Cricetulus griseus: one gene and its partners. The protein of the gene in region 1 interacts with the protein of each later gene in a pairwise test. Links are inferred from orthologs where the notes say so. Each region holds a gene or a part of one and is shown in the gene's direction. Other genes may lie near its edges.

What was found.
Region 2: the proteins of Ubqln4 (region 1) and Spp1 interact in a two-hybrid assay, tested with the Homo sapiens proteins (2 studies listed by BioGRID and IntAct). The link is inferred for Cricetulus griseus from reciprocal best matches to the Homo sapiens genes UBQLN4 and SPP1.
Region 3: the proteins of Ubqln4 (region 1) and Prpf40a interact in a two-hybrid assay, tested with the Homo sapiens proteins (2 studies listed by BioGRID and IntAct). The link is inferred for Cricetulus griseus from reciprocal best matches to the Homo sapiens genes UBQLN4 and PRPF40A.
Region 4: the proteins of Ubqln4 (region 1) and Atxn1 interact in binary tests that used the Homo sapiens proteins (3 or more experiments, as listed by UniProt). The link is inferred for Cricetulus griseus from reciprocal best matches to the Homo sapiens genes UBQLN4 and ATXN1.
Region 5: the proteins of Ubqln4 (region 1) and Ptn interact in a two-hybrid assay, tested with the Homo sapiens proteins (2 studies listed by BioGRID and IntAct). The link is inferred for Cricetulus griseus from reciprocal best matches to the Homo sapiens genes UBQLN4 and PTN.

What each region holds. Positions count from the first base shown.
Region 1 is NW_023276806.1:65,945,887-65,949,405, reverse strand, and holds part of Ubqln4 (ubiquilin-4), read left to right. Parts: intron 1-3,044; coding exon 3,045-3,270; intron 3,271-3,519. UniProt on the Homo sapiens protein: Regulator of protein degradation that mediates the proteasomal targeting of misfolded, mislocalized or accumulated proteins.
Region 2 is NW_023276807.1:166,257,098-166,259,415, forward strand, and holds the end of Spp1 (osteopontin), read left to right. Parts: intron 1-16; coding exon 17-313; intron 314-993; coding exon 994-1,383; 3' UTR 1,384-1,804; downstream 1,805-2,318. UniProt on the Homo sapiens protein: Major non-collagenous bone protein that binds tightly to hydroxyapatite. Appears to form an integral part of the mineralized matrix. Probably important to cell-matrix interaction.
Region 3 is NC_048599.1:121,221,619-121,225,137, forward strand, and holds part of Prpf40a (pre-mRNA-processing factor 40 homolog A), read left to right. Parts: intron 1-214; coding exon 215-323; intron 324-779; coding exon 780-844; intron 845-1,195; coding exon 1,196-1,360; intron 1,361-1,813; coding exon 1,814-1,922; intron 1,923-2,452; coding exon 2,453-2,603; intron 2,604-3,420; coding exon 3,421-3,519.
Region 4 is NC_048596.1:265,665,672-265,669,648, reverse strand, and holds the start of Atxn1 (ataxin-1), read left to right. Parts: upstream 1-1,161; 5' UTR 1,162-1,383; intron 1,384-2,463; exon of another isoform or gene 2,464-2,622; intron 2,623-3,977. UniProt on the Homo sapiens protein: Chromatin-binding factor that repress Notch signaling in the absence of Notch intracellular domain by acting as a CBF1 corepressor. Binds to the HEY promoter and might assist, along with NCOR2, RBPJ-mediated repression. Binds RNA in vitro.
Region 5 is NW_023276806.1:191,420,673-191,424,931, forward strand, and holds the start of Ptn (pleiotrophin), read left to right. Parts: upstream 1-1,447; coding exon 1,448-1,562; intron 1,563-2,654; coding exon 2,655-2,828; intron 2,829-4,259.

The sequences.
Region 1 (3,519 bases):
TATATAGCTCATAGCATCCCAGAACTTGAAATTCTCCCAAGCCAGCTTCCCAAGTGTTGGGATGGATCACCATGGGCAGTGGGATTCTGCACTTCCAAAAAAAAAAAAAAGAGTGAAAAAAATGTTTTTATTTTATATGGATGGATGTTTTGCCTACGTATGTACTTGTGCACCGTGAGTGGAGGGCCTGTGGAGGCCAGAAGAAGGGATCAGGTCCTCTGAAACTAAAGTTACAGGTGGTTCTGAGCCACCACGTGGGTGCTAAGAAACAAGCTGGGGACCTCTGGAAGAGCAGCCAGTGCTCCTACCTGCTGATGCGTCTCTCCAGCCCCATGCATCTCTAGGATTGTGCACTTTTAAAAATGTTTTATGAGTGTAGAATGTTGTTCACTGGTAAAGTGCTTGCCTAGAGTATGTGAGGCCTAGGGTCATTTCCACCTCCACCAAAAAGAAAAAGCAAAACAAAATAAAACAGCTTTATGAATATGAGGTATGGCATCCCATATCTATAGTCCCAGCATCTAGGAAGATCTGGGGTTCAAGGCCAGCCTAACTACATGAAATTCTGTCTCAAGTAAATAAATAAACAGCGTAGCTCAGTTGGAAGACTGCTTGTTTAACATGCACAAGGCCCTGGGTTTGAGCCCCAGCAACACATAGTCGTCTGGTTCTGTAATCCCAGTACTGGGGACCCAGAGGTCATGGTCACCCTCAGCTACACATTAAGTTCAAAGCCAACTTGAGAAACATGATACCCTGTCTCCAAAACAAAACTAAATTGGATAGTTGAGAAAGACAACAAACACTCCACCTAATTCCTAGCACGCACATTAAAGCATAAAAAAGAAAAAAGAAAAAGAAAAAAACCACTGCTTTTACTAAAAGAATAAAGCATTTGGCATCCACAAACCCGGGTTCATATGCCTGCTTTGTCATTTTCTAGCAATGTGATTTTTTGTTTTGTTTTAACGAGACAGGGTTTCTCTGTATAGTTTTGGAGCCTATCCTGGCACTCACTCTGTAGACCAGGCTGGCCTCGAACTCACAGAGATCCACCTGCCTCTGCCTCCAGAGTGCTGGGATTAAAGGCGTGCGCCACCACCTGACTCTAGCAATGTGATTTTAAGTGGTCCCTCCCTGAGTTTTACTCCCTTGCTTTCACAGTCAGGTCATCCTTTATAGCAGTCGCTCACACATTTTGCCTCAGGACACAATTATTCCCTGAAAAAATGAGAGAATAAGCTGAGCGTGGAGCATACACCTGTAACCCCAACTCTCAAAAGGCAGAGGTAGGAGGATCACTGGGTTTGAGCCAGTCTGGTGTACGAGTTCTAGGCCAGCTAGGCCTACAGGTGACACGATGCCCACCCTCCCCCCAAAAAGATGCATTCATACTGTAATCCCATTACTCTAGAGATAGAAGCAGGAGGATCAAAGTCCAAGGCTAGCCTGGGCTACTAGAGACTATAAAAAACAAACATACAGAAGTTACAGAGGGTCCCTAAAGAACTTTGTTTTCGTGAGTGGGACCTTTCAGTATTCACGGCCAGAAATTAAAAACTGAAGTCTGGGCGTGGTGAGAGAGAGAGAACAAACTTAGAAGAAAATGTGGCTTTCCAGAAGATATCTTTTAATGTATGATCCTGTAGGACAGTGGGCTTATCAGGTCTGCATTGAACATCCCCTGCTACACAGCTTTCATAATAGAGTAAGTAAAAACAGTAAATTGGCATTGAGTTATGAAGACTTTCTAGTCTTTCAAGGGTTATAGGGCCACATTTTTGAGAGCTGGTGTATAGGGATATTATATTAGAATAAATGTGCCAAGGCATAAAGTAGGTGCTCAGTAAATGGTGGGTAGTCACAATGGTAGTTCAGGGAAAGAGATTTAGTTGGTAGGTGCACCAGGAAGAACAGAACAAGTTAAGGACTAGAAGTGGTGGAGATTACAGGAATGGGAAATCTGTTCCTTTTTTTTTTAGACAGGGTTTCCCTGTGTAGCTTTGGAGCCTATCCTGGAACTAGCTCTTGTAGACCAGGCTGGCCTCGAACTCACAGAGATCCGCCTGCCTCTGCCTCCCAAGTGCTGGGATTAAAAGCATGCGCCACCAACGCCCTGCTAGGAATGGGAAATCTGAAATGGCACTAATGCATAGTTTGTGAAGCCAGCTGGTTATCTCAACAACAGGTATATGTAGAAGCCAAGGAGCCTCAGCTCAGCTCAAGGTAGATGATTGCTCAGCTGTCTGCCTCTTGCTTCAAGCTCTTAAGTGAGCCTTTGTAAAACTGAGCTAGTGAAGAAGGGTCCAGAACTGCTCAGCACACAGGTCCCCATAGACCTCTGTCCTAGTTGCTGGAGGGAAGAGATTTGGTGTTACCCTTGGGCAATGTGCCATCTGATGAGGAACAGTCCCGAGTAGTCTTTGGGAGCATGGGAGAGGGACTGGGGGATCCACCCAAAGGACAGAGGAAGGAAACCTCAAGGGAACCCTTAGCCAGAGCACTGCTCCCTGGGGCTTGCTTCGATGACTCAAATGCCTCTCATCGGACCAAGGAAGTGAGCAAGAGAGTTCTGGGCATTAGAATTACGCCAAGGTGGCAGGGAAAGAGGGAGCTGGGGGCAGATGGGGTAAATTAGCCAGGTCCGACAGCCTGCAACCGCAAACCTAGCCATTCCTTACTGAGCACCTACTGGTGTTAGTGCTGAGGGTGTAAAGGTGAATTTGACATTGCCTCTGCCCCTTAACTACTCCAAGAGCAAAAATACCTCATTATATCACAGGAAGATGTATGTGAAAGGTTAGGTCACAGAACTGAAGGCAGAGACCCACATTGAGCACAAGCCAGGGAAATGGCATCTTTCCTGGGGGCTATGGCTGTCAGTCACTAGCATCAGCCAGGTGCCCTCTGCAGGGTCAGGTGAGGGTGGAGCCAGTCCCTTCATCCCCTGGGGTGGGGAGGTTCCCAGGTAAGAGCAGAGAGGGAGCCTCTCCTTGTCCCTGATTTGTTTCAGTCCTTAACCCAAAACCTTTCCCTCCTCTCAGTTTGGCAACAATCCCTTCTCTTCCCTGGCCGGGAACTCCGACAACTCATCCTCCCAACCTCTTCGGACTGAGAATCGAGAGCCCCTCCCTAACCCCTGGAGCCCCTCGCCCCCCACCTCCCAGGCCCCCGGGTCCGGTGGGGAGGGCAACGGAGGATCGGGGACCAGCCAGGTGCACCCGACAGTCTCGAACCCTTTTGGGATCAATGCGGCTAGCCTGGGGTCAGGTATGTCTTAGGGTGGAAGGAGCTTAGTGGGGTCACACTAGGGCAACCCCTCTGCCCCAGGACTGAATGGGGTTCACATTGCTTCAGTGTATATTGAAAACAGGTGAGACTGAATTAAAGCTACAGGTCTCAGTGTCCTGGGGCAATGGCCCTGCCCCCTCAGAGGAAGCTTTGTTGTGGTTGTGTCCCTGGTAGTGACCTAAGTAACAGCTCATGAGTAAACCAGGCCACACCTCCCACCTCCATGAA
Region 2 (2,318 bases), on another chromosome or scaffold:
TTGATCTTTGATTTAGACTCTCCCAAGCAACTCCAATGAAAGCCATGACCACATGGATGATGACGATGATGACAATGATGACGGAGACCATGCAAACAGCCAGGATTCTGTGGACTCTGATGAATCAGATGAGGATGACCATCCTGACGATTCCCACCATTCTGATGAGTCTGATGAGTCCATTACTGTTACTACACAAACAGAAGTCTTCACTCCAGCTGTCCCTACAGTAGAGATCCCTAACGGCCGAGGTGACAGTTTGGCTTATGGACTGCGGTCAAAGTCTAGGAAGTTCCACATTTCTGATGACCAGGTAAATCCCTTGTCAGACACACAGAATGACTATGGCTTGAGCTCACTTCTAGGAAACCAGAGTATACAAATTCACCCACTATTCACCAAGAACTGCACATTTATTTGAAGTCTGCTTTATGGTCTTTGAATACAGAGCTTTTTTATTTTTCTATGTTGGCAGTCCTGTTTAAAGTGTACATAATATCTTTGTTAATTTTCTCTATCACACACAATTCTATCCTTCCAAATCCAGTATCTAAGCAATATTTAATAGGCATTTATGTTAGTTCAATAACTACTGCAGGAAGTTATTTGTGAAATATAATGGTCGTATTTGGAAGCCAAGTGTGTGAGAGGAACTGTAAAAGTCACAATTATAATGAACTTAGTAAAAGGGTCTGAATTAGACTCAGCCTTATTATTTTCTATTTGATTTAACTTTTAATGTCTTTCCATGTAAATCAGAGACTATGAGACCACCCTACAAGTTTTATCACAGACATAAAGGATATACCTATTAAAGTAGAAATGGCTGACACAATGGTGACTGGTAAAGTACAAAGTACATGCTAGTGCCTTTTCTTCTTCAATCAAGTTTTAAAAATACTTAGTACAGTTTGACCTAAAGTGTAGAGATAAAGGATTATAATGTTCTTATCCCTAGCTGTTTGTATAACTCTTCAATTTGTTCTGGTTCAGGATCCTGATGCTACAGATGAGGATCTTAGCTCCCACATGAAGAGCAAGGAGCTGGTTGACACCCTCAAGGTTATTCCGGTTGTCCATCGTCTGAACATGCCCTCTGATCAGGACAGCACTGGGAAGACCAGCCATGAATCAAGTCAGCTGGATGAACCAAGTGTGGAAACCCACAGCCATGAGCAATCCCAGGAGCACAAACAGAAAGCTAGTCATGAGAGCACTGAGCTGTCTGATGTGATTGATAGCAAGGAAAGTTCCAAAGCAAGCCAGGAACATCAGAGCCATGAAGACAAGCTAGTTCCAGACTCTAAGAGTAAGGAAGACATTAACCATCTGAAAATTCGTATTTCCCATGAAATAGAGAGTTCATCTTCTGAGGTCAATTAAAAGAGAGGCAAAACCACAGCTCCTTACTTTGCTTTTAGTTAAAAAAGAAGAAGAAGATTAGTGAGGGCTAAGCAAGAATATTAACTGCTCATTTCTTAGTTTAGTGGGTATATGTATGTGGAGAAGAAAATAGATAATATTTGGGGCTATTAGCTTAGTTTGTTGCTCCATGAAAACACCCTTGTAACCTAAAAGCTTCAGTACTTTGCCTCTGTTCTTTCTGTAGAAGTACAAATGGCCACTGCATCTTAATGATTGTTATTACTTTATGAATAAGATGTATGTAGACACAAGCAAAATGCTTTTACATGGATAAAAGAGAATCTATAACAATGTCACTACAATCTTTTGTTTTTATAATTAGTGTATATTTTGTTGTGATTATTTTGTTGGTGTGAATAAATCTTGTATCTTGAATGTAGCAAGACTAGTGGTGTCAATTATTCCTTATTGGTTTCTCAAAATTGGTTTGTGACTTCTAAACTGTAACCATTTTAATGAACTTGCCTGACTTAGTTAAAGCCATCTTACGGTTCTAGTGATCAGCAGAACAAGGTCTACCTGAGAGTTGATAGCAGGGGGAAAAACAAGGCTCTCGTATGGCATTTTCTTACCTATTTATAACATTCACTAGCTAATGTAAGAGCTAATGAAAGCCCGGATGTAGTCAAAAGTCAATTTATGTTTTCTGTCTTTATCTATTAATTTGTTCAGTAATCTTGTGGCTTTCCTTCCCTTATATAGGTTAGGTAAAAAGCAATATATATATATATATATATATATATATATATATATATATATATATTTAAATATATACAATATAATTAAAGAATTTAATGGTGTTTCAAATGAAAACAAATTTCTTCTCAATTTCATTCGAATGTGAAGTTCCAGAAGCTCTAAAGTAGCACACAAGCCTTACCTCTTTAGAAATC
Region 3 (3,519 bases), on another chromosome or scaffold:
CTTAGTGTGATTTCCCCCTTATATTTGGCCTTTTTACAGGGCCTTATATCTGTAAATTTATTTCCTGTCTTCAGATAGTTTTATTTTCAGGGTTCATATAAGAAAATTTCTCTCAAAATTGTCAAGTTTTAGGTCAGCATCAGTTAAATGATTTCCTAAGCAGAAATTAGTTCCTGAAATTATGAATAGCATGTTTAAATTTCTCTCTCTCTAGTTTTACTCCTAAAAAAGAAGAGGAAGAGAGCCAACCAGCAAAAAAAACATATACTTGGAATACAAAGGAGGAGGCAAAGCAAGCATTTAAAGAATTATTGAAAGAAAAGGTATTATAATCTTTTTAAGTAACACATAATAATTTCCTAATAAATGTTCGCTTTGGTGCCTTTATTTAAAATACTAATTACTTGAACTGTTTTAACTGAAAACAAAGTAAATTTGTTGTGTTTTTATTGAAGAATGCTTTTGGAAACTCAACAAGGTATTATTTCACAATCATATTTTTGCCTTGATGTATAAGATTTTTTATTTAAATTATTGCTTGTCTTTTAGTTGGTGATCTAATGCGGAAAAAATACTGTTTCAATTTCAGTGTGAATTTTCTTTTTAGTCAATAAGTGTGTATCATAAATTTGCTTCATTGAAAATGGTTTTAGATTGTAAAAAAAAATCTGCAAAGGGGGAGGTGCTTGATATTTGCAATGAGTGTTAAACTTGCTTTCCTATGATAACCATTGTCTCTGTTGTATAAAATTTTAATTTTCCCTTTAAATAATTTTCAGCGGGTACCTTCCAATGCTTCATGGGAACAAGCTATGAAAATGATCATTAATGATCCTCGGTACAGGTAATACAATGACTTTAGAATTAACTTTACATTAATCTTAGGGCATTTAAAGTTATGTTCAACAGTTTAACTTTATAATACACAGCTGTTCATAGGTATATAATTATTTTAAATAGAGGTATTTTATGTGTTCTATAGCCAGAAATCCAAAAGGGTTGTCCTACAATTTGAGCACCTTGCTCCAAATGAAATTATAATCACTGAACACTAGAATTTGCTGTTTAAAATAATTGTATATCTTCAGTAAATTAGATATTTTCTTAATGTATGCGTCAAACATTTTTCTAAAGCAGTAACATTTTATTCTCCAGCCTTTATATTTATTCTTGTCTGATATTTTCTGTTATTTAGTGCTTTAGCAAAGCTGAGTGAGAAAAAGCAGGCCTTTAATGCCTATAAAGTCCAGACCGAGAAAGAGGAAAAAGAAGAAGCAAGATCAAAATACAAGGAAGCTAAGGAATCCTTTCAGCGTTTTCTTGAAAATCATGAGAAAATGACTTCCACAACCAGATACAAGTAAGATTTTTAATGATGGAGGCAATGTTCCCCCTGTTGTTTGTGTCGTACTTCTTGCTAACTCATCCAAAATGGATGGTCATGAAACAGCTGGGTAAATGAGCATGTGGCAGTTTTATAAGATAGCCAAAAAAATCAGTAACTTATAGGCTCACTTGAGGTGTTAGGGAATAGACATAATACATTAACTGTTACTGTTTTATAGTCTGCAGAAGGTGACTTGGGGGAAAGGGGCTATTTACATTGCAAAGCATTACCTAATGTGAATTGTCCTAAGAGAAAATAGAGACTTTGCTCTTCTGTTAATATTTTATTGATTTTCATAAAAGTTTTCCGAGTTAATGCATTTGTAAACTTGAAATGGAGAGTGTGTTAATTGAGTGCCTTTAAAAAAAAAAGTCTAAAATTGTACTGATGCATTAATCAAGTAACCCTTGATTTCATAATCACTAGAAAAGCCGAACAGATGTTTGGGGAGATGGAGGTTTGGAATGCTATATCAGAGCGTGATCGTCTTGAAATCTATGAAGATGTTTTGTTCTTCCTCTCAAAAAAAGAAAAGGTACTTTTTAAATTGTTGTTATTTCAACATTCTGAATAAGATTTTCTTTATTATAAATGAGTAAAAATTATAATGTCAGTTTCTTTGCTTAACTCCGTTAGTGTGTATATATCATATCTGTTCATTGGAAGCTGTGTTAAAAGATATAATGAGTAACTCATTTTTTCTCCTGTTTGTCAGTAAATTGTTTTGCATCTAGTATTGAAAATATTACTAAAAATTTGAATATCAGGGAATGCCTTTGTGTTTATATACTGACTGTACACAGTAGCCCTCATTATTAGTTATATCTGTAATGAATACTGGTAAGGCATAGGTTTATGAAATGAGGATACAAAACAATATAATTTTTTTGGATTTTGAATTCAAAGAGAGATGAAAAACTGAAGGTTTGGAAAACAGTAACAAAATGAAGGGTCTTGGTATATAATAACATTTGGACATTTATCAGAATATAAAGGAATCTTAAGTAATTATAATTTAGATATCTTGTTTGAATATTAAAAGCATTATTCAAATGTTTGTTGTAGGAACAAGCTAAGCAGTTACGAAAGAGAAACTGGGAAGCCTTAAAAAACATACTTGACAATATGGCTAATGTTACATACTCTACTACTTGGTCTGAAGCCCAACAATATCTGATGGATAATCCAACATTTGCAGAGGATGAAGAGTTACAGAGTAAGAACAATCACTACATAAGAAAAATGATAAGTAGTACCCCTTGAGTTATTCTTTACTTTCTGTATGAAATTCGAGGAATTGCTATTTTATGCAGTTGCTAGCTCAAATTTTACAAAATGATTACTATTTCTGAAAAAATACTTTATTTTCAAATGGGTTGTTTCTAATTGAATTTTGATTTAGAAAAATACTTTTCTAGAGATCTCAGTTAACATTTAACAGAAAATTCTTGAAATATGTAATAAATCAACTATTTATAGCTCACTGGTATCCAATCCCAGCATGGAGATGGAGTTGACCACAAAATCTTACTCTTAGCTGTAGAGCTTTAGCAACTGATGGCTGCTGGAAAGGAGACAGTTTTCTCAATCATAGCTCCTGATATATCAACTACTCTCAAGAGTAAGATCGTATATCCAACAAATTCTTCTTGGTGGATTTAAAATAAGTTTAGGGAGGTAGGGATGACAAAGTTAGCTGGCTAAGTGGTGTGTATATCTGTGAAGAAGTCAGTGGTGAATATGAGCAAAATGCACACAAAACTCACAGAACTAATAAAATTTTTTATCAATAAAATAATCTGTTTGGAATTAAGCATAACATTGCTCTGTTAGCCCGTTAATTTTGTCATGTGCATGTGCTCTTGCCTTTATTCTCTAGGATTTGAAGTCTTTCAAAACTTGTGTCATTACAAGATCATGTTTAAATTCAAATACAAACACTTTTAAACACTGAATTTGAAGTTTGTAAAGACTTTAATTAAACTGCTTTCTTTGTTAATATTTCAATTTTTTTAATCTGAAAAATACTTCAGACATGGATAAAGAAGATGCATTAATATGCTTTGAGGAACACATCCGGGCTTTAGAAAAGGAAGAGGAAGAAGAAAAACAGAAGACTTTGTTGAGAGAGA
Region 4 (3,977 bases), on another chromosome or scaffold:
TTTTCGAGAATTATCTGCAGCAAAGGGAACTCGGCACTGAGCGACCCTTGTAGGGTTGTGCCCGCTCTTTCTCCGGGTGCCACACCTGTTGGCAAGGTACACTCCTCCGGGGAAGATTCCTTCCCACCGAGCTCACACCTGGCAGTGCTGTAGCGGAGGGGGTGGGTGGGGGGACTCTATGTCTGCGTTCAGCCACCAGGACCAGGGAAAGTTCCTTTGCCGTGGATTCCCGAGAACCGCCATCGAATGGTCGGGGCACCGGTTACCTCACTTCCGATGAAATGAGTGATTCCCTGTTAGCTGAGAAAGGAGTGAGCAGGTCGGCTCCCAGAGCTAGAACTGAGACGTCTGATTCCTACTGCAGATTTCTAGACCTGCAGAATTAGATAGGAGGGTCGGGAGGCTGCCAGCTTGTCCGGGCAGGAAAGGTGAGGGCGCCAGTGCAAACTGAGGAAGCCTGAGAACTTTCCCGAGTTGCAAGCCAAGGCGCGGGCCCAGAGTCGGGTTGCTCAGGGCTCACCGGCTGGAGGGTTAACAGCGAGGATACAGTGAGTCCTCTTAGACACACACCGGGGTGGCGGGGTGGGGGCACCAAGGTCACTTCGGGATTAGAGTCAGCCGACTTCCCCGCATCCTTGCTTATTTTACCAGGTGGGAACCGAAGCCTGACACCCGCTGCGGTGAGTCCTCCAGGCTGCGAGCGTTGCACCCTACACTCGCCCTGTCCCCTCCAACTAGGTTGCAAGGAGACGGGGAGGCGCGCGAGCTCCGACGGGTCACCACTCCAATGACCTCATCGCCCCAACTTCCCCTCCCCTTTCTCAAACCTGGAAGGCACAGTCCCCACGGGCCGATGTCCGGGATCCGGAGCCGCAGTTAGGGAGAGGCACCGGGCCTCCCCTGGAGGGAGGGACCGCTGCTCCGGCCGGGTGCACAGAAGGGTTAAGGGCGCGGGCCGGCAGCCGCGCCGTGCGCTCGCCGTGCTCTGTGCGGCTCGCCGGGCCGCCTGCCAGAGGGTGCCCCCCCCCCCCCATGAAGTCGGATCCTTGAGCTGTGGCGGCGGCAGCCAACTGCTCCATATTTGGCTTCTATTACACATTTACATACTGGAGCGAGCGAGCGAGCGCGAGAGAGAGCGCGAGGGAGGGAGGGCGGGCGGAGGGAGGAGGGAGGGGAGGGGGGAGGAGGAGGAGGAGAGAGCAGAGTATACCGCAGACATCATTTCTACTACAGTGGCGGAGCCGTACAGGACCTGTTTCACTGCAGGGGGATCCAAAACAAGCCCTGTGGAGCCGCAGCTAGAGCTACAGCAGCCGCAGGACACTGTGTCTCTCCCTCTGTCCCCCCTTCCCCACGCAACCCCAGATCCATTTACACTTTACAGTAAGTGGCTATTTTTTTTCCTCCTCTGATTCTTTCTCTCCCCCTCCCCCTTCCTCCTCTCCCCCCCCCTCGATTTAGATTAAAATCACCCCCTCCCTCACCCCAATCCTCTCTCTCCGGAGAGGGGCCAAAGAACATCCAGCGTACAATCTCCCCTCCCCCAGTCTCAATGGGCTACAAGGAAAACAGCTGGAAGAGGAGCGAAGGAAACCGACGCGTCGTGGTGTGTGTGCGTGTGTGTGTGTGTGTGAGTGTGTGTGTGTGTGTGTGTGCGTGTGCGCGCGCGCGTGTGTGTGAGTGTGTGTACATATACCCCTGCCGGGCTCCAGCCTCCCGGCTCGGGACCCCACTCTGGGCGCTGGAGCAGCGGGCCCGGGGAGCAGCCAGGGGTGGGCCGCCCCCAGGAGAGGGGGCGCGCCCGGGCAAGGGGCGCGGGTGGGGAGAGCGGCGGCGCCCCGCTCAGGCTGCTGCTGGCCCGGCGGCGGCGAGAGCCGAGAGCCTGGTCCTCCTCCCTCCTGGTGGCGCAGGGGGAGGCGGCAGCGGCTGAGGGTCGCGCTGCCCTCTTCGCTTTTGCAAATTCTCCCTCCCGGGAGGGGGCGGTGAGCGCCGCGGGGACTCGAGGGAGGGCTGGGCTTCCCCGCCCGGGGTCGCCTAGCTTGTGCGAGGCGACCCCAAGACTGGGGTCTCCCCGCCCAGGCCAGCCTCTGGGGACCGGGGACTTTGCGCACGGCCTGGGGGAGAGGAGAGGTGGCGGCGCAGGGGGCAGGGGCGCGCAGGCTATCGGAGCGCAGCGGGAGTGGCGGCGGGGACGGGCCCTGGCTGCAGCCGCCGCCACCGCCGCCCTGTTGGTGCGGCCGCTTCCTGATCCAAAGCAGCCGCCGCCGCCGCCGCCGCTGCCGGAGCCGGAGCCCGAGCTTCCCAGCCCGGCCCGGCCCGGCGTCCCAGCCGGCGCCCGAGGCAGCAGCCGAGGAGGGGCTCTGCCCTGCTCCGGGACTGCTCGGCTGCGCGGCGGCAGGGAGGGTGAATGAAGATGGGAGGAGGGGAAGGAGGAGGCGGCGGAGGAGGAGGCGCTGCGGGGATTGGGATGCGCCCCGGAGCCCCGCGGCTCGTTCACTCCGAGCCCGAGACGCCGCCTCTGCCGTGGCTGCCGCGGCCGCCGCGCCTCCTACGTGGTTGCAACGGAGCGCGCAGGCCGGTCCCGCAGGGGGCAGGGAAGGGGCCGGACGGGCGGAGCGAGAGGTGAGGCGGGGTCGGAGAGGAGGGAGTGAGAGCCTGTGAGTGTGTAGGTGTGTATGTGTGCGTGTGTTCTCGCGCCGAGTGGGGACCAGAGCCTCCGAGATGGGGAGGGGTCCCGCGGTGGTCCTTTGGCTGACTCTGCAGCGCCTCGACTTCTCCTTAGCCACCTCCTTCAACTCTGGGGCTTGTGCGCTTTCATTTTATTTCAGACCACGTAGAGCTGACTGGAAGCGGTGAAACAATTCAGGTTTTCTAGGGAGATTGAGCAAGGACCTTAGTGGTGGGGGGTGGAAGTAGGATGGTGATCTAGACTCTGCCAGAAAAAAAAAAAAAAAATCAGGGTTTTAAGACGGTGGAGTTCAGTTCGATCCCGTGGCTGTCCTGTTTTGTTTTGCTTTCTTTCTGCATAATCCTACAGATAAGAGGGTAATATAAATACTTGGGAAGGTTGGGAAATTGCTGAAGAGTAGTAAGGGCGAAAAAAAAAAAAAGCCAGTCGGAAGCTGGTTATATAATGCTCTATGTGGCTAACAAGAAAGGCAAGCTATTTTTATTTTGTTTACCGTATGTTGTGCAGTAGGAACTCCTCCAAACTGGTTCTGTCCCCGAAGAGATTTCTTAGCTTCTCAGAGAGAGCCACAGGATACAATTAGTAAAATTAGAAGACCCCACACCACCTACAGAATAAAAAGTAGTGCCTTACAGTAGAGTTCTCACCCTTGCATGCAGAGGACTGTGTGTGTGCAATATGTTTCCCTGTGGCAATCTAGTCTCATCTCAGTGACATTTCTGTTTTATAATGCAAGCTCCCCTTAATATTTAAACATCATTGCTATAGGTCGTACACAACAAGGTAGTTACATGCTGGTTATTTTTAGGCACAGCTGGTTACTTTTCAGTAGTGTTTGCAAGCTATTTCTATTTGGTTTTCTGAAAAGCCCTGCAGTTCCTAGAAGCCCTAAGTTAAGCCCACCCTCTGGTTTCTTGATGGTGGGTAGGTAGCTAAGACAGTTTGACAGCCGAGAGTTTATTTTTATTTTATTTTTGAATGAAGTTTATGCTAGTGGAAGCTAGAGGTAGCCACCAAAAGAAAAACATGTGCACGAACTCTTGGGAAGGGATTGCACCATAACAGTTTAGCTGTGGCATTTAATCTCCTCTGATTGTCCTCTAACTGGCCATGCATCAGTCAATATTTTAGCAGCTTTGCAAATAAATGGGCTTGAATGCTCCCTTCCATAGGAGGCTGAAAAGCCTCCTGCCTGTCTGCCTCTCTCATCATACAGATACTGTCAGTGGTGTTAGTTTTCTGTACACTTACTCCGGCCCTGATCACTCATGTAATTAGATCAGGCTGC
Region 5 (4,259 bases), about 130 Mb from region 1:
CACAAGATGAGGAGGAGTCACCTACCTGATTTGCATGGAGCAATTCAGTGAGACTGTCCTAAGAATGCAGCTTTAGGGAGAGCAAAGCTTCTAATACTGGACTGTTGCCGGGGATGGAACTGGTGTTGATTAAGCAGGGTTCATGTTTTAAAGGGCAAAGTGGTAAAAATGTTAATTTTAGTTTGTTGGTAAAATATGTTTAATCATACTATAGAATCCAGTCATTGATAGAAAAACAAAACACAACTCCAATAAGTGACAATTCTAACATTGTGGAAGTTGATACAAGATTAGTTAGTAACCATGGTATCATATTTTAGATACTTATGAATTAGGAAAACAAGATGCATAATAGAGGGAGCACAGCACACACATGTGCATACCCATGCACATACATGTGCATACTCACACACACATATTATACCCCCAGGCACACATGAGTACACACACAGGAGTAGTCTCATTATTTACTAAAGAAATTGTAAAATCATTAAAAGCTAATCTATTGCAAGTTTTGGAAAAAAGGAATACAGCTCACACTAATAATAACCAAAGATTATTTGCACACTTTTGTGTGATCTATACAACACCATTAACACAGCAGATGGAGGTAAATGACCATCAACCACGTTTCTGCAATCAGTGGCTTTTTCAGAGCAGCTTAGGCAAGGTGAATATCTTGATGGAGGGTTATCACAGCATCTTTGAGTATAACAGGGATCTTCCTAGGGTTTTCTAGGGATTTTGACTTATGTGAGATGAGCAGTATTTCAATTTCTGAGCATGTATAGTCACTGCTCTCCAGATCTGAGGATTTAGTGGTTCTTGAGTAAAATCCATTTATGAATTCTTAGTGTTATAGCATGCCAGCTCTATATTTCTGTGTTTCACTCTAATGAGCAATGGGATGATACTATGTTTAAAATGAACATGGGTAAATAAGAATCAGAAATGCTGCTCATTGGTAGATATGCCTAAATATAAAAAACACAGTCAGTACACACAAGCTACTGTACACTATCATTTGTCACGGCTGTACCGAAGATTACTGTGACTGCAACACCATGAATGTTTCTAGGAACTTCCAGGCATCCTGAAGATGACTGTAGTTGTTATTAGCAAGTGATGCAAGCAACAGGATTGATTGTAGGAATCTGCTCAAAATCATGCCACGTGGTTCTCTTGCTTTCACAACCCCAGAGTCACACATAACAAATGGCTGTGAAATCTGATACGAAGAATGATTAAATTCTGCCCATGACCACGTGATTTACTGCTTTTGCAGCTGTTGGTGAGAAAGGATAAAATTACACTTTGTAATAATCAATACAGTTTTCCTAAAACCCAGTGTTCCAGAAGCTTCACATAGCATGCTTCATCAGAGAGTTGAATCTTCATCCTGACTTAGGTTGAAATCACCTTCTTCTTGTTCTCTTCATTTCCAGAAATGTCATCCCAACAGTACCAGCAGCAACGTCGAAAATTTGCAGCTGCTTTCTTGGCATTCATTTTCATCTTGGCAGCTGTGGACACTGCTGAGGCTGGGAAGAAAGAGAAACCCGGTAAGCAGTGGAGTCACAGAGAGATGTTTCCTTGGATGGTACCCAGGCAGCCCAGCTACCTGCTTATAGTTCTCCCACAGTTTCTAACATCCTTTCAATTATTTAGGGAAACCCTAAATTGCCCCATTTTGCTCCCGAATGAACATGCCCTTGGATAGTCATGAGTGGGCTGTGGTGTTGGGGGTCTCTTTTAGTCTGTGTCCTATACACATTTCTATTATGCCTTTTTACCCACAGAACAGAACCACACCATCAATTTTCAATGAAATTTTTAGTCTGACCACTACTACTTCTAATAGACATTCCCTCCTCATTTTTCAAGCTTTTTATAAACTACTTAGAATTTTTTATTTTGACAGAAATATTTCCTTCTTAGCCAGGCATTGGTGGCACACGCCTTTAATCCCAGCACTCAGGAGGCAGAGGCGGGTGAATCTCTGTGAGTCCAGCTTGATTTACAGAGTGAGTTCCAGAAGAGTCTCCAAAGCAATACAGAGAAACCCCATCTCAAACAACAACAACAAAACAAAACAAAATAAAAATGAAAAATATTTCCTTCTTTTTGTAAAATTTTACACTCTCAAATGTTTCATCAAAGATACACAAATCTTCAAATTTCATCTGGCACAAGTGTGTTAGCTGTTTGTTGCTGCATTCAGACACTTGAGGAGTGAATTTAAGAGGAAGATGGCTTTATTTCACTTAGGGTTTCAGAGGTGTGGGCCCGTCACTGCAGGCACGCGTGGCAGAATAGCTCATATTGTGGTGGTCAGGGAGCAGGCAGAGGGACAACGCCTTCATTCAGAAACATCTTTCTAAAAGGAAATATTAGTGATTCACGTAGAACAGTCTCTATCACACACATGACTTAGTAGTATTAGTTCCGTCTCTGCCCCCATGTTTTCTTTCTTTCTCCTCTTAACCATGCATTGACTGGATCATTGAGAAGACATCCCACTGTCTTCCTGGACAATACAGATAGAGATAAAAGTCATAGACTCCACAATCGAGGTTCTGAGGTGTGAACTTAGCCATATTCAAGAGTTCAGTACATTTCTGGACGGTGGTTGCTTTTTGTTTCCTCCCTTGCAGAAAAAAAGGTGAAAAAATCTGACTGTGGAGAATGGCAGTGGAGTGTGTGTGTGCCCACCAGCGGGGACTGTGGACTGGGCACCCGGGAGGGCACTCGCACTGGTGCTGAGTGCAAGCAAACCATGAAGACCCAGAGATGTAAGATCCCTTGCAACTGGAAGAAGCAGTTTGGAGGTCAGTCTCACCCTGTGTTCTTATTGCTTTAATCTACTATTCTGAAATACTTTTGGAACAATTCTATCAAATTCATTTTCAAAGCCAACTCATGTTTATATTAAATTAAATAAATATATTTTCTTAGACACACGGTGACCAGCCAGCTTTCCTCTTAGATTCAGCACTAGTGATATCAGGGGCTGGATTTTTGTTGTTTTTGTCTTGTACATTTTAGGGTAATTAGTAACATCCTTGTCATCTACCATTATATTTTCAACCATATTTTAATACAACCTACTCTACCAGCCAGGAAAACTGAGAAAATGTCATTTGATAGCCAAAATGACAACAGAGTCATATAAATTAGACTTTAAATAGTATGGGGTATGGTTAAGACTCACTTAAAAAAAGTTTGTGAGGCAGGGCATTGGTGGCACAAGCCTTTGATCCCAGCACATGGGAGGTAGAGGCAGACTGATCGCTGTGAGTTTGAGGCCAGCCTGGTCTCCAGAGTGAGTGCCAGGATAGGCTCCAAAGCTACACAGAGAAACCTTGTCTCGAAAAACCAAAAAAACAAAAGTTTCTTAAAGGACTCCTGTCATGAACATGTATAAAAATCTCAAGAATCAATATAGAATCAAAACAAACAAGCAAACATACAACCCTAACAATCCAGGAAGATAGTGAATAAATACCAACAGACATAATTTATGAGGAGAATAGATAATAATAAATAGACACCTGGAAAGATACTCAATTTCTCTGTCCCATTAAGGGAAGAGAGATTGAAACCCTGGTGACATGTTGCTATGTACCCATCAGAATGCCTGGAATAAAAACATTATGATACCCCTGGCAGTGAAGATGCAGAGACACTAGGTTATGTAGTTACTGTCAGTAGAAATAGAAAATGGCACAGCAATACTAAAAAAGATACTACTTTTTGGAGAGGTTGCTTGTTTTATGTTTGTATGAAATTAAACATGAGTTGACCTTACCATGTAACTCAGCAGTTTCTTGGGCGTTTTTCTTCCAGAGAAAATAAAATGTTTTCACAGAACACCTTATATGAATAAATAGAATTTGCATTTGTATGTATATAAATTAGCCAAAATAAAGCAATACAGGCATCTTTTAGTTGGCGATGGATAAATAAAGTTTGGGATATCTATATCGTGGATGGTTACTCAGTTGTACAAAAACATACAATATTGATTTACACAACGTGAGTTGATAGTCACAAATTTATGGTAAGTAAGGAAGTAGCCAGTCTCAGAGCCATAGAGATGGCTCAGTTGTTAGGAACACCTGCTTTTCGTGCAGTGGACCTGGGTTAGGTTCCTCACACCCATCATTCCAGTTCAAGAGGATCATACACCATCTCCTAATTTCTGTGGGCACGAGAGTAGCCAATCACAAAAGTTTACATAGTTTAAAATCTCATTTATA